Linked DNA regions of Caenorhabditis elegans. The protein of the gene in region 2 purifies or fractionates together with the protein of the main gene of each other region. This does not show direct contact. Each region holds a gene or a part of one and is shown on either strand. Other genes may lie near its edges. The genes, in order: ets-4 and tdpt-1.

What was found.
Region 1: the proteins of tdpt-1 (region 2) and ets-4 purify together in Caenorhabditis elegans (affinity purification with western blotting, with the first as the bait; one study listed by BioGRID). This does not show direct contact.

Annotation. Positions count from the first base shown.
Region 1 is NC_003284.9:6,517,238-6,523,306, reverse strand, and holds ets-4 (Transcription factor ets-4), read right to left. Parts: upstream 4,372-6,069; 5' UTR 4,276-4,371; coding exon 4,260-4,275; intron 4,201-4,259; coding exon 4,129-4,200; intron 4,076-4,128; coding exon 3,927-4,075; intron 3,513-3,926; coding exon 3,429-3,512; intron 3,378-3,428; coding exon 3,338-3,377; intron 3,225-3,337; exon of another isoform or gene 3,016-3,224; intron 2,861-3,015; coding exon 2,714-2,860; intron 2,668-2,713; coding exon 2,476-2,667; intron 2,345-2,475; coding exon 2,259-2,344; intron 2,152-2,258; coding exon 2,076-2,151; intron 2,024-2,075; coding exon 1,922-2,023; intron 1,875-1,921; coding exon 1,515-1,874; intron 1,461-1,514; coding exon 1,393-1,460; 3' UTR 651-1,392; downstream 1-650. Other genes in the region: Homeobox protein ceh-60, read left to right, coding at 321-391, 444-524. UniProt on the Caenorhabditis elegans protein: Transcription factor which binds to 5'-GGAA/T-3' DNA consensus sequences. Both positively and negatively regulates the expression of target genes. Plays a role in the regulation of adult lifespan, which may in part be through modulation of daf-16 activity.
Region 2 is NC_003279.8:14,096,845-14,102,833, forward strand, and holds tdpt-1 (5'-tyrosyl-DNA phosphodiesterase), read right to left. Parts: upstream 4,247-5,989; 5' UTR 4,240-4,246; coding exon 4,188-4,239; intron 4,125-4,187; coding exon 4,050-4,124; intron 4,001-4,049; coding exon 3,780-4,000; intron 3,108-3,779; coding exon 3,013-3,107; intron 2,880-3,012; coding exon 2,648-2,879; intron 1,458-2,647; coding exon 1,174-1,457; intron 989-1,173; coding exon 859-988; 3' UTR 648-858; downstream 1-647. Other genes in the region: Protein tfg-1, read left to right, coding at 5,203-5,383, 5,436-5,581.

The DNA.
Region 1 (6,069 bases), on a different chromosome or scaffold from region 2:
GAAAAAAAAACCATATTTATTATTTTTATCGTTTTGTGAGATGACGTTTTAAAATCTAATTGGTGATTTCAAAAAAACTTTCACATCGAGAAGGTTATTTTAAAATGTCGATATATTTGATGTGTTGGCATTTTTTTTTGATAAATGTAATTATTTTCAGGTTTTTCTACGTGAAAATTTCAAATTTACATTCATATGTGTCTTATAGTTTCCGCAAGTATCAATCAATTTCAGTTGATGATTTTTGTGTTTTGCATTGCGATTCCCATGTAACCGCAAACAAGCCATCCGTGGTCACCGCTTATCTTTGCTCTTTTCAGCGTTTCTCCATCAGCCACACTATTTTACTGCCGGAGGACAAATGTCACTCAATGATAATGGAAATGGACAGGTAGCTCAGCAAAAAAAGTATTGACGTAATGACCCTTCGTTCTCTGTTTCAGCAATTCTTCACAGATTATGAGACCTTTGGACTTGCACAATCGGATACAGAGTCGTTCAATCAAATGGGATATCTAGGATGATCTACTTTGATTGAGAAATTAAATGTTGAATTCGAAATTCGTTGTGTTTCATAATTCATCTTTTCAAAGCTTTCCTTCATTTTCATGTTTATCTTTAGTTTTGCTAAAAGCCAAGTTTTATATTTTGAAAAAATATTTATCTGGTTCATTAATATATAATACAATCTGAATAAATAATTGCACAATGATATAAAAAAACACTGGGACTACACATTGTTGTAATACAATTTCTTTGGGGGATAACTAGGCTAGTAAACAGGGGAAGGAGGCTGGAGTATAAATGGAATGTAAAATTAAAACATTTTTTTGATACAATATTATAATTGTTATAATTAACATAATCATATTGGTATAAATACAATCGGGAACAGTTCAGTAAAACGCTTATTTTTCTGTCACTGGTGGATATATGAGCCGTTATTTGGTAAAGTATTTGGGAGAGAGGAAGAGTTCTGACATGAGAACGAGAATAAATAGAGAACAACATATTGCACGGTTTCAAACCGGTAAATATTGCATTACAATAAATAAATCGAGTGAAACAATATTCAGACATCTGAACTACACACTCTAAATGGTAATAACATTTGTAATACTTTTTGATTGTTCCCAACAATTGAAAAAGAATGAGAAAAAAAAAGAAAATAAAGAAGTTGAATAAAACCTTGAATGATTGACTCGGGTATTAAAAAGAAGTATGGGACACAATAGGAATATGTTCTACAACGAACAGTACATGGAAGTATATCTTGAATCACAGATATCGGGAAATGGGACCACACTGGACCGACAGGACAAGTTGAAAAATGTAAACAGAGTATTGACACATACACAGATAGCAACACGTCGTTGTCTTTCTGCCAGATGACTACAAGTTATAAGGAGGCAGGAATTTGTACACCAAACGCTGCTTCTTTTCCGGCTTTTGGATGATTCCTGGAATATTGATTTGTAACGTTTTTGTTTTACACTTCCTCCTATTCTTTTTACCTTTCTTATAGTACTGTCGAAGACTTCTGGACAACTTGTCATAATTCATCTGTGAACGGTTTTTTCGTTGTCCCCAATATCTAGCCAGCAGGAGGGAAGACTCGATTTTAAAAGTTCCCTCATCTCTATCCACCCATCGAACACATGCACTGTACTGTTTTGGTTGATCCAAAAGCTCACGAATAAACTGCCACAGATGAACAGTTCCTTGATGACGAGTGTAGGCACGCTCATCGTCATCTCCCTCGCTTCCGTTGCACATTGCGTCAATAGGGGAGTTCATGTAACCCTGGTTGTGAAAGAAGTTTGAGAAACCACAGTTCGAATTGTTCATGTGAAGATCAATATCATCGTCATTCACTAAAAAACTCTGAATTAGTTACAGTACTAATAAGCCCGTGTCATACTGTCTTGACTGCTCCCATTGCTGCTGGTATCGCTGTTGCTTGGCGATGGCAAAACAGTTCCCTGTTGAAAGAAGCTGCTCATCGACATGTTTGGATACCCTCCTATAAATACAATTTACTTATTCACATCAAACGCTTCCGGTTCGAAACCAACCGTTTCCATTGAAAAATGGATGATTCGGGTTCTCAGCAGCTGCCATGTTGTTTGTTTGATTGTTGGTGCTGGCTAGCTAAAAATACGAGAAGGCTTTATGAAAAAAACGCATTGAGCAAATAGGGGTACAAAAAGACTGCGCGCCGAAAATTCTGAGGAATGACATAATCAACATTTACATACCCAATTAGTTTTTGACTGCATGTTATTTTCGGCAGCGGTCATTCCGGAGCTCTGAACGGTCACGGGTGGATGATAGTTTTCAAATGCTGAAATTGAATTGGATTGGTGTCTCGTTTTCGTGTGAGCATGTCACTGATAACCGTCATGATGACAATCAGAAAAAGGGCGTGATTTATAGTCATGCTAATCGCATCACCTTTCACGTAATCTGACGTACCGGTCTTCCACACTTGGAGTTGGGCATGCAACGTGTCGCCTCCCGCCGGCAAAATCATTTCGAAATCTTTTTGACTCATGCCGAGCAAATCAATACCAGTGATTGAACAGTTTCTAGGCGGCTGAAGATTGAATTGCATGCACATCTCGTTGATCCATCGTGCTCCATGCTCGGATGACCACAGGTAGAAATCTAGAGACCAAAAATATAAATGAGGTATTGTGGATAAGTAATGTACCATTTGGAAGTCCCAATTTGGCACAAGTTGTACTGATGTCTTGAATCAGATGACGGAGAATCAGGTCCCTGTAGATGTCAATTTGCTGGGTGTCAAGACCGTTGTCTTGCGCAATCTCCGGATTGACATTGAAATTGAGAATGTTTTCTGGAACTTTTTCGTGGTAAACATTCAAACAACAAGCATTGATGCATATCCATGTATCACCCGCACTTTTCTAACCCTGACACATTTCCATATCTTCCTAATATCTAAGCCCTTTTCTTTTTTACTTTGTAATGGGTCACAACTTTGTTTTCTATTGTGGTTAGCCAAAGCAGCTTAAAAAAACATGACCCCGACCCACAACTAATTCGGTAGCCGCTTGGAAAACTTTCACTGGTCAATCCAGGCGTGCCGTCAGCCAGAGAAAAAGCTGACCTGTGCCTAACTACCCTAATCGAAGGAAAACGTGTTTTCTCAATAGTATCTCCCGCCAAACGAAATGAGATGTTTTTCGATGAAGGGATAGTGAAAGTCCGAAAGGGAGAAGAAGGCGTTAAAAGAACCCGAGATTATGATTGACACCATTCAAAACAGTCGTTAATGGTGTTTGTATGTATCTAATCCATCTAAAGTACCAACCTTCAATCTCATTCTTCACAAACGTGCTGTGATCGGCGTCCTGCAAATTATAATAATACAGAGGGGTCAGTGTGATAATCAGTAAAACTACCTTTGAGAATCGACGGTTATACTCGATGGGTTGGATTGGAAGATTGCATGGCATATCCATCGGATGTGGTTTGACGTTGTTTACCTAAAATAGTTGTACATTGTGATTGTTTCCAACGTGATTAAAATGCAAAAAAAGTCACTCAAAAAATTATTTCTCTATTTTCTCCATCAATCGGGTCTTATCAATTATCGCATCTATGACGTAAATAGCACGCACGTGTCTTACTGTGAAAGAAAATGAATATGAGAACAAATAAAGTAAACTAAATTTCAAAATAGCAAAAAATTATTGAAGCTAACTTGCGTTTAAAAAAACATTGATGATTCAACTGATTGATAAAAATGAGTAAGGTGTGTTTGTTACTCTCATTTTCCCAAAAACGTTCTTATTTCAAACTTCAATTTTGGTAATCATAACCAGTTTTCAGAGCAGGCATAAAATAATTAACGCAACCACACCCACATGGTCTCAAAAAAGAAGAAGACAAAAACTTACCTGGTCGATTCCGAATAGATCATCATCAAATGGGAACTCGCTTTTAACAAAAGGAGTGCTTGCGGTTGACTCCGTTCCGGAATGTGGCTCCGGGCTCAGAGAATTCCATCTGTGACCGACTGAGCCAGTACCGTTCATTGATGAAGAATCTAGAGTGACAAAATACTATTGGAAATATTATAATTCCAACCGTCAGACTTACAACTTCCGTACTTGTATTCCAAGTTGTTGAACGGGAACGCGAATTGGTTCAAACCATGAAATTGGGTCTCGCCTGGAAATTAGAAGATTTATCTTTCAAATAAACACTATGATGAGAGAGGGTATACGTACAATAAGCAGCAGTCATATTGAACAGTACAAGTGAGATAGTAATAAAAGTTAGTACTGAAGATGGTAGGTTAAGTCGAGACCGAAGAGTAGTGTCGACCTGTTTGTGCACTAGAGTAGTAACGAATAAAGTGGCACTGTTAATCAGTCAAATTTTATTTTATCGCTAATTTTCGCTATTCCCAACCCCTTTTTTTGCTTCGACTCGGAAAAGTTATCAGCAGAGCGTCAAGCGATTTCTGGCGCGCGTGAGGTTGACTAGTGTGACACTCCTAATCATTGCCTCGCTCAGTGTCACATGAAACCAAGCTTTTCCAGAAATAAGCTGATAAGTAACAAAATGAAATTGATGGCGCCAATGGAAAACTGAATTGAAAACTCGATGATCTATTACACGAAATATGTTTGTTGGAGAGTTAGCATTGATTGCGTCAATTAGGGGGCAAAAGCCCATTTTTATCAGTGAATCATGTTGCACACCAATTCAATATTGAATTGAAAACTGATCTAATTGCTGACAAAATACTGAAACGTCATTAAATAAAACGTGAGAAGAGTTTGAAAAAATTTGTGGTTGAAAAGACGATATCAAATACATATTCGCAAGACATCGACTAAAAAACTAAAAAAAGATCAATCACTGAGCCGATCGAATATAATAAAATAATAAATAAAATGTACTGAGCTTGAACAAAAGTGTGGGGGTGGGGGGGGGGGGGGGGAAGGGTTCTAAAATTGATGAGTCAGGTTGGTCGTGTCAGACACGATGGGACCTCTTTCAATGGTGCAAACTACGCCGCGCCATCCCCCCATAATTCAATGCAAATGAACAAACCTTTTCTTATTCATACTACATAAGGAGTACAGGTAAAGAAGAAAAAAGAATGTGCATTGTGCACAATTTTTTTCATTATAAAGAGTTAGGATGTCATGAAAATTGGAAACAGGTTTATTGCTAGAAATTGGGAATGCACGTCATTGAATAAACAAGCTACAACGTGGCGGACCAGAAACATGGGTGAATCTATAAATTGAAAAATAATGACACGGTTGAAATGTTTTGAAATGTGTTTCAAGTCTATACTAAGTAGTGGACTCTAAGGTAATAAGTTTTAATAACTAACAAGCTATCTTGACGAATGAAAATCCTAAGAATCAATCGGTATGAAAGTGCACACAATTCTCTCTGGAATTGTGATGATGCGTGGGTCGATTTTTGCTCCTATTTTTTTTTTGATTTCATTGTCCATTAACGTTCCCTGGAGTCAAAACACATTTAGCTGGCTGATGTTGCAAAGAAATTATGACGCACTGTCTGATTTTGTTTGTCGCCTTATAAACTTGCAAAAAAATTACGTATTTGATAATATTCTGATATGCTCAACTTTTGCATTTCAGTGCCACAGTTTAAGCCATTGATAAGTCTAAAATTCTCGTGATTGATTACGATTTGCATCATAAATCACTAAATCATGTAACCCGTGTTTATCGCTGGAAAAAAGAAAACATTTAAAAAAAGTGAAATTTGAAGCAGCGAACTAAACTGCTGATAAAAAAGCGCACTCAGCAATTTTTTGTGAGCTGCCTATCAAGAAACAAAAGGGAAATGAAAACTTAAAATCATTGTGAGAATTATTGTTTTTTTTTCACATGCGTTGTATCTCCACAATGACAAAAATACCCTGCTGTCGCGAGAATTATTTGACTTGGTGTTTTGTGCTTTTCGTCAAAAATGAGGCAGCGGCAATTCGCAGAGGTCCAGAGCGCCTGAAGTCGTTTTGCAAACATCCAAGTGACCGGCTACCGTACGGCA
Region 2 (5,989 bases):
TTTTGCTTCTAAAAATTTCCAAACCGATATATTTATTTTTTCTGTGGCTAAACAACACCCCTAGAGGCCTAACATAACAAAATTTTCTGAGCAATTTTAAAAAAATTGTCCGAATGGCGCAGTGGGATTTCCGCCGGCTACCAATCAAGAGACCGGGGTTCGAGTCCGCGGCGTGGCGAATATTTTCAATTTTTTGCCAATTTGATGTGATTTTTAGCAATTTAAAACCTCAAAACCTAGAAATTTAGAACAAAAAGTTTTTGAAAGTTGGGTTTTGAGTCGAAATTATCAATTTTCTAGTTATTTTCTTCTAAAAACGATTTTTCCTATAGTTTAAGATAATAACAATCATCTAGAGGCTTATAAATCAGAAAAATCGAGTTTTAAGCTTTTCGAAAAAAAAAGTGTCCGAATGGCGCAGTGGGATTTTCGCCGGCTACCAATCACAAGACCGGGGTTCGAGTCCGCAATGTGGCAAAAATTTTTATTTTCTATTTGTAGTGGTTTTGAGATGAAATTTGTTATTTTAAAGCTCGAAATTTAAAAAATAAAATATTTTTTTATCCCAAAATTTCAATTTTCTAATTTTTTTAGGCGCCAATTTTTTTTTCCAAAAAATGAGCGATTTTCTATAGTTTTAAAAGAAAAAAAAAAGTGGATTTATTTACAATCAGTATCGAAAATCGAAGATCAATAAAAACAACGAGTTTTCAAAAAAAAGGGAGCTTAGATGAAAAAAAAAGATTAAAACCCGGTGACAACTGGGAGGTAATTCCTGGGTAAAAATAGTGAAAACCGGTCGAAAAACAAGTGAAAATGGGTAAAAAATGATGATTTAAGGCTTATTTAAGGCTTATTTCAGGCAAAAAACGTGGCATTGATAGCCCAATGATCAGATGGGAAGCACAAACAGGAACGGATGCGTTGGCGGCCTTCAAGTGTGAATTTGACTTTGTCCAGTGGTCCAGACCAGTATAGGCGGTCGAATCTGAAAATTTGAAGCTTTTTAGATTTTTTAAAAAATTGAAAAAAATCGATTTTTGTTTATTTTTTAAAAAATGATCGAATGGCTCAGTGCGCTTTTCGCCGTCTACCAATCACACGACCGGGGTTCGAGCCCCCGGTGTGGCAAAATATTTTTTATTTCTTTTTTATTTGTCTCTTCGCTTTTACCTCATCTTAGCGCCATGGAATCCCTGTTTATTGTCATTTTTGAAGGTGTCCCACGTGAATTTTGTCTTATTATCACTGCCGGCAGCCTCCCAGGCATCCTTAACACCGTCAGGCACACGGCTGACCTCCTCGTCTCGTAAGTTCAAATCGCCGCCGAAAAAGACGAGGGCGCCCGGGTTTTGAGCGATGATTTCACGGACTTTGTCCATGCAGAAGCCGAATTGAGCACAACGTTGCGGGCGGTGCTCACGTGTTGATTCGAGATGGGTGTTAAGTAGGAATACCTGCAAAAAACGAGAAAATTGGTTGAGGCTCAGGCTACAAACTACAAAAATTTGTTAAATTTGCCGAAAAGCGAATGATTTTAATAGAAATGTTCAGTTTTCTTTCAAAAAAATCAATTAAAACGAGGAAATTCTTCAGTTTTTTTTCGGGAAAGTGGTTGTGGCTCAGGTTACAAACTACAAACTCGGCTTAGCCTCACCAAACATTTCCGAAGCGAAATCTGATGAAAATACTCGAAATTTCCCTCATTTTTCTTCAAAAAAAGCTCCAAATTTTCAAAATTCTAGGGATTTCCCTCAAAAATCAGAAGAAAAACTGAAAGAATCAGGGTTTTAACCAGAATTCCGAAAAAAAAATTGGTTGAGGCTCAGGCTACAAACTACAAAATCGGCTTAGCCTCACCAAACATTTCCGGAGCGAAATCTGGTGAAAATACTCGAAATTTCCCACATTTTTTCTCAAAAAAGCTCAAATTTCCATAACATTTCATGTATTTCCGACAAAAATCATTGAAAAATTCAAAAAAATTACAAATAAAATTGATTGAAGCTCAGGCTACAAACTACACATTTGGTTAGCCTCACCAAAGTTTCAACGAATTTTTTTCGAACTCACACTACATACTGTGATTTTCAGCTAGAAATTGCAGAATTCTGATTGAAAAAAATCAATTATATCTCGAAAATCTTACAACAAAAAAGAGATTTTCAGGAAGACATAGGGATTTTCCGTAAAATTTGACCGAAAATTGATTTTAAAACCTGAAAATCTAGATTTTTTCAGTGGAAAATCCCATTTTCTGTAAAAATTTGAAGTTTTTTGCAAGAAAAACAAGAGGGAAAACATTTGAGGGGAAAAATTGGTTGAGGCCTACACTACAAACTACAAATGTGGTTAGCCTCAACCAATATACATTTTGCTCGATTTTAAGGTATTTTTTGCGGAAATTGATTGATTTTTACGGGAATTTTTATATTTTGTTTTGAAAAAATGGATTAAAATGCGAGAATTTTTCAAAAAATCTTTTTTTTCAGTAAAAAACTGAAAAATTCGATTATTGCGATAAAAATTGATTGAGGCTCAGGCTACAAATTACAAATTTGGGTAGCCTCAACCATCATTTTCACTCATTTTTAGCGGTTTTCCGGGATTTTTTCTTAAAATTTCGTCTATTTTCTGAAAAATTAACCTTCAAACCGCCAATAGATCCCTCCAAAATCTGCAAAGTTCTGTACATTCCAGAATTCTGAAAATGAATGACGTCATGCTTCTCGACGTCGAACATTTTCGACACAAGAATCGCCGTATAATATTGGCAGCCTTTGTTCGAATAATAGATTTTATACAGCGATTGAAGCTTATCAATCGGCGCCAAATCACGGTCGACGACTTCTTGGAGGAATAGGATGTCCGGATTGACGCTGAAATTTTTTTTTGGCGTTTCAGGTTGATTTTTGAAGATTTTTGACGGTTTTTAGTGATTTTTTTGCTGATTTTGCATCAAAATCAACTAAAAATTTGAAAATTCCGTGAAAAATCGCCGATTTTGCTCACTTTTTGACAATATGAGCCACTGCTTTCATTCTTGTGAGCAAGCTTCTCCCGTCGAGCCCATCAATGTTCCACGACATTACGCTGACTTCGAATCCCTGAAAAAATTTGAAATTTGTTGGAAAAATCGCGAAAAAAGTGAATTTTTTTTTGGTGAGGCTAAGCCGAGTTTGTAGTTTGTAGTCTTAGCCTCAACCAATTTTTTTTTCGGAATTCAGGTTAAAAGCGTGATTTTTTTCAGTTTTTCTAAAGATTTTCGAAGGAAATTCATGAAATTTTATGGAAATTTGAGCTTTTTTGAAGAAAAATGAGGGAAATTTCGAGTATTATGCTTCGGAAATGTTTGGTGAGGCTATACCGATTTTGTAGTTTGTAGTCTTAGCCTCAACCAATTTTTTTTCGGAATTCCGGTTGAAAGCGTGATTTTTTTTTAGTTTTTCTACTGATTTTTGAAGGAAATCTATGAAAATTTATGGAAATTTTAGTTTTTTTGATAAAAAATGAGGAAAATTTCAAGTATTTTCGCCAGATTTCGCTTTGGAAATTTTTGGTGAGGCTCGGCCGATTTTGTAGTTTGTAGCCTGAGCCTCAACCAATTTTTTTTTTCGGAATTCCGGTTGAAAAAGTGATTTTTTTCAAATTTTCAATGATTTCTGTGAAAAATCACTGAAATTTTACGGAAATTGCAGCATTTTTGAGGTTTTTTAACTCGAAAATCGATGTTTTTAGGTGGTTTGGCTTGATTTTGCTCCAAATATTCTTCTATTAACCTTCAAATCCTCTGCCGTCATCACCGCAGCTCCAGAGCTCGCCATAGACGATGAAGCGCCCATTACGGCCGCACTTCTGGCCTCTGCGAACGCCTCACTCCCGTAAAAAACGTCCAGAGCCTTCTTCAAATCCCAGTCTACATCCTGTAAAATCGACTGCGCAAAAGCCTCATCTGTGGCCGTGATTATTGCAAATTCATGCAGTTTTTGCTCGTCGCTCACTGAAAAATCGCGGATTTTCGCCTTAATTTATTGATTTTTCGGGTTTACTCGACGAATTTTTCAGTTTTCCTTGCTCCGGCTCATCTAGAATCTCGATTTCGACCTCGGAATCTTCTTGGGACACTGAAATATATTTTATTTGATTTAAAATTCAAATATTTTGAATTTCCAGCTGCAAAGCCTTACTTTTCTGTCGTTTAGCCTCAATTTCCTGTATTTCATCGTCAGAATTCGACATTTTTGAGCTGAAATTAGAGGATTTTATCATATTTTTTCAGAAAACGCGAAAAATCCACACGATAACTATTGAAATTCAAAAAATCGCGAAAAGAATAACTGAAAAGGCGGAGTCTAGCCGGGGGGCGTACCCTATTTGCAATCCTGGCACGCGTGTTGCAACTGCGGCGCACTTTTACCGAACGTGGAATTTTATATCGCGGATTTGGATCGTTTTTCTTCCCGTTATTTTCCCATTTTTCCTTGGTTTTCTTGCAGAAAATCCATAAAAATAGCAAGAAAAGTGAGTATTAGAGGTTAAAATCGATATTTTCACCATAAAAAAACCCCAGAAAACCGGCAAAAAACGATGAAAATCCGTGTGGAATTTTTTTAGACCTAGTTTCGCAATTTTTTCAATATTATCTTGAAGATTTTGATCTATTTTCGTGATCTTTACTTATTTTATGTGCCATATCCCGATTTTTATACCGAAAACCCGCGAAAATCTAGAGATTCCGATGGAATTGCTTTATTATATTACACGTGGAACTATTTTATTTCTTGATTTCTGCCGGTTTCTTGCTTTAAAATCTTAGAAAATAGCGTTTCAAGTGGGTTTTAGAGCCGAAAATTTAGATTTTCGATAGGAAAATCGCCTAAAAATCGATGAAACCATATTTTTGGCCTACTCCCGCTCTAATTTTGAAACTTTGATCTCGTTTAGGTCGAATTTCAACTAAAAAGTCGAATTTTCCTGTCAAAACACATGAAAATCCAAAATTTTCGTAAAAATATGAGCTCCGGATAAACTTGGGTGAGGCTGAGCCAATTTCGTAGTTTGTAGCCTGAGCCTCACCAAAATTCGGATTCTGTGTTTAATTCTTGATTTCTAGTTGATTTTCGCCGGTTTTTTTTTGCTTTTTTCTTTCTTTTTCTCCCGCAAAACCCAATTTTCCCTTTAAAAAACCCCCGTTTTTTCCAGATGGTGCATTCAAACGGAGCCATCACGAGCACAATTCTGAAGGCTCGTCACGCCGACGTCGTCCGCAAGACGTCACTTCACCACGCCAACGACTTGACACTCATCGATCTCGTGCTCAATGTGCAGCGGCTTTTGGCTCTCCCATCCGACGCGAATTTCGTGTTGAAGTACAAGGATGAAGGTAGGAATTGCACTGAAAATTGCGATTTTAATTCAATTTTTGTCAATTTTAGAAGGCGATTTGGTGACACTCGCCGAGGATAGCGACCTCCTGCTGGCTCTTCACACGTCTGGAGCCACGCTCGACGTGACCGTCGTTGTCGACTCGAGAGCTCGTGAGGCTGTGCACGATGTGCAGAAGCAAGTCGAGCAGATTAAGGTAAGGAGGATTTTGAGCGAAAAAAAACGATTTTTGAGCTGAAAAGCGCAATTTTGAGCGGGAAAATGCAAAATGTTGCAGAATTTTCATCGAAAATGCTGCATTTTTGAGCTTTTTAGACAAAAAAAAATCCGGAAAAACACTGAAAAATGTTGGTTGAGGCTAAGAAACAAGTGTAGTTTGTAGTGTGAGCCTCAACCAAACTAGCCAAAGCTTGAGTGAGGCTATGGTGATTTTGTAGTTTGTAGCTTTAGCCTCAACCAAATTAGCTAAAGCTTGAGTGAGGCTATGGTGATTTTGTAGTTTGTAGCTTTAGCCTCAACCAAATTAGCTAAAGCTTGAGTGAGGCTATGGTGATTTTGTAGTTTGTAGCTTTAGCCTCAACCAAATTAGCTAAAGCTTGAGTGA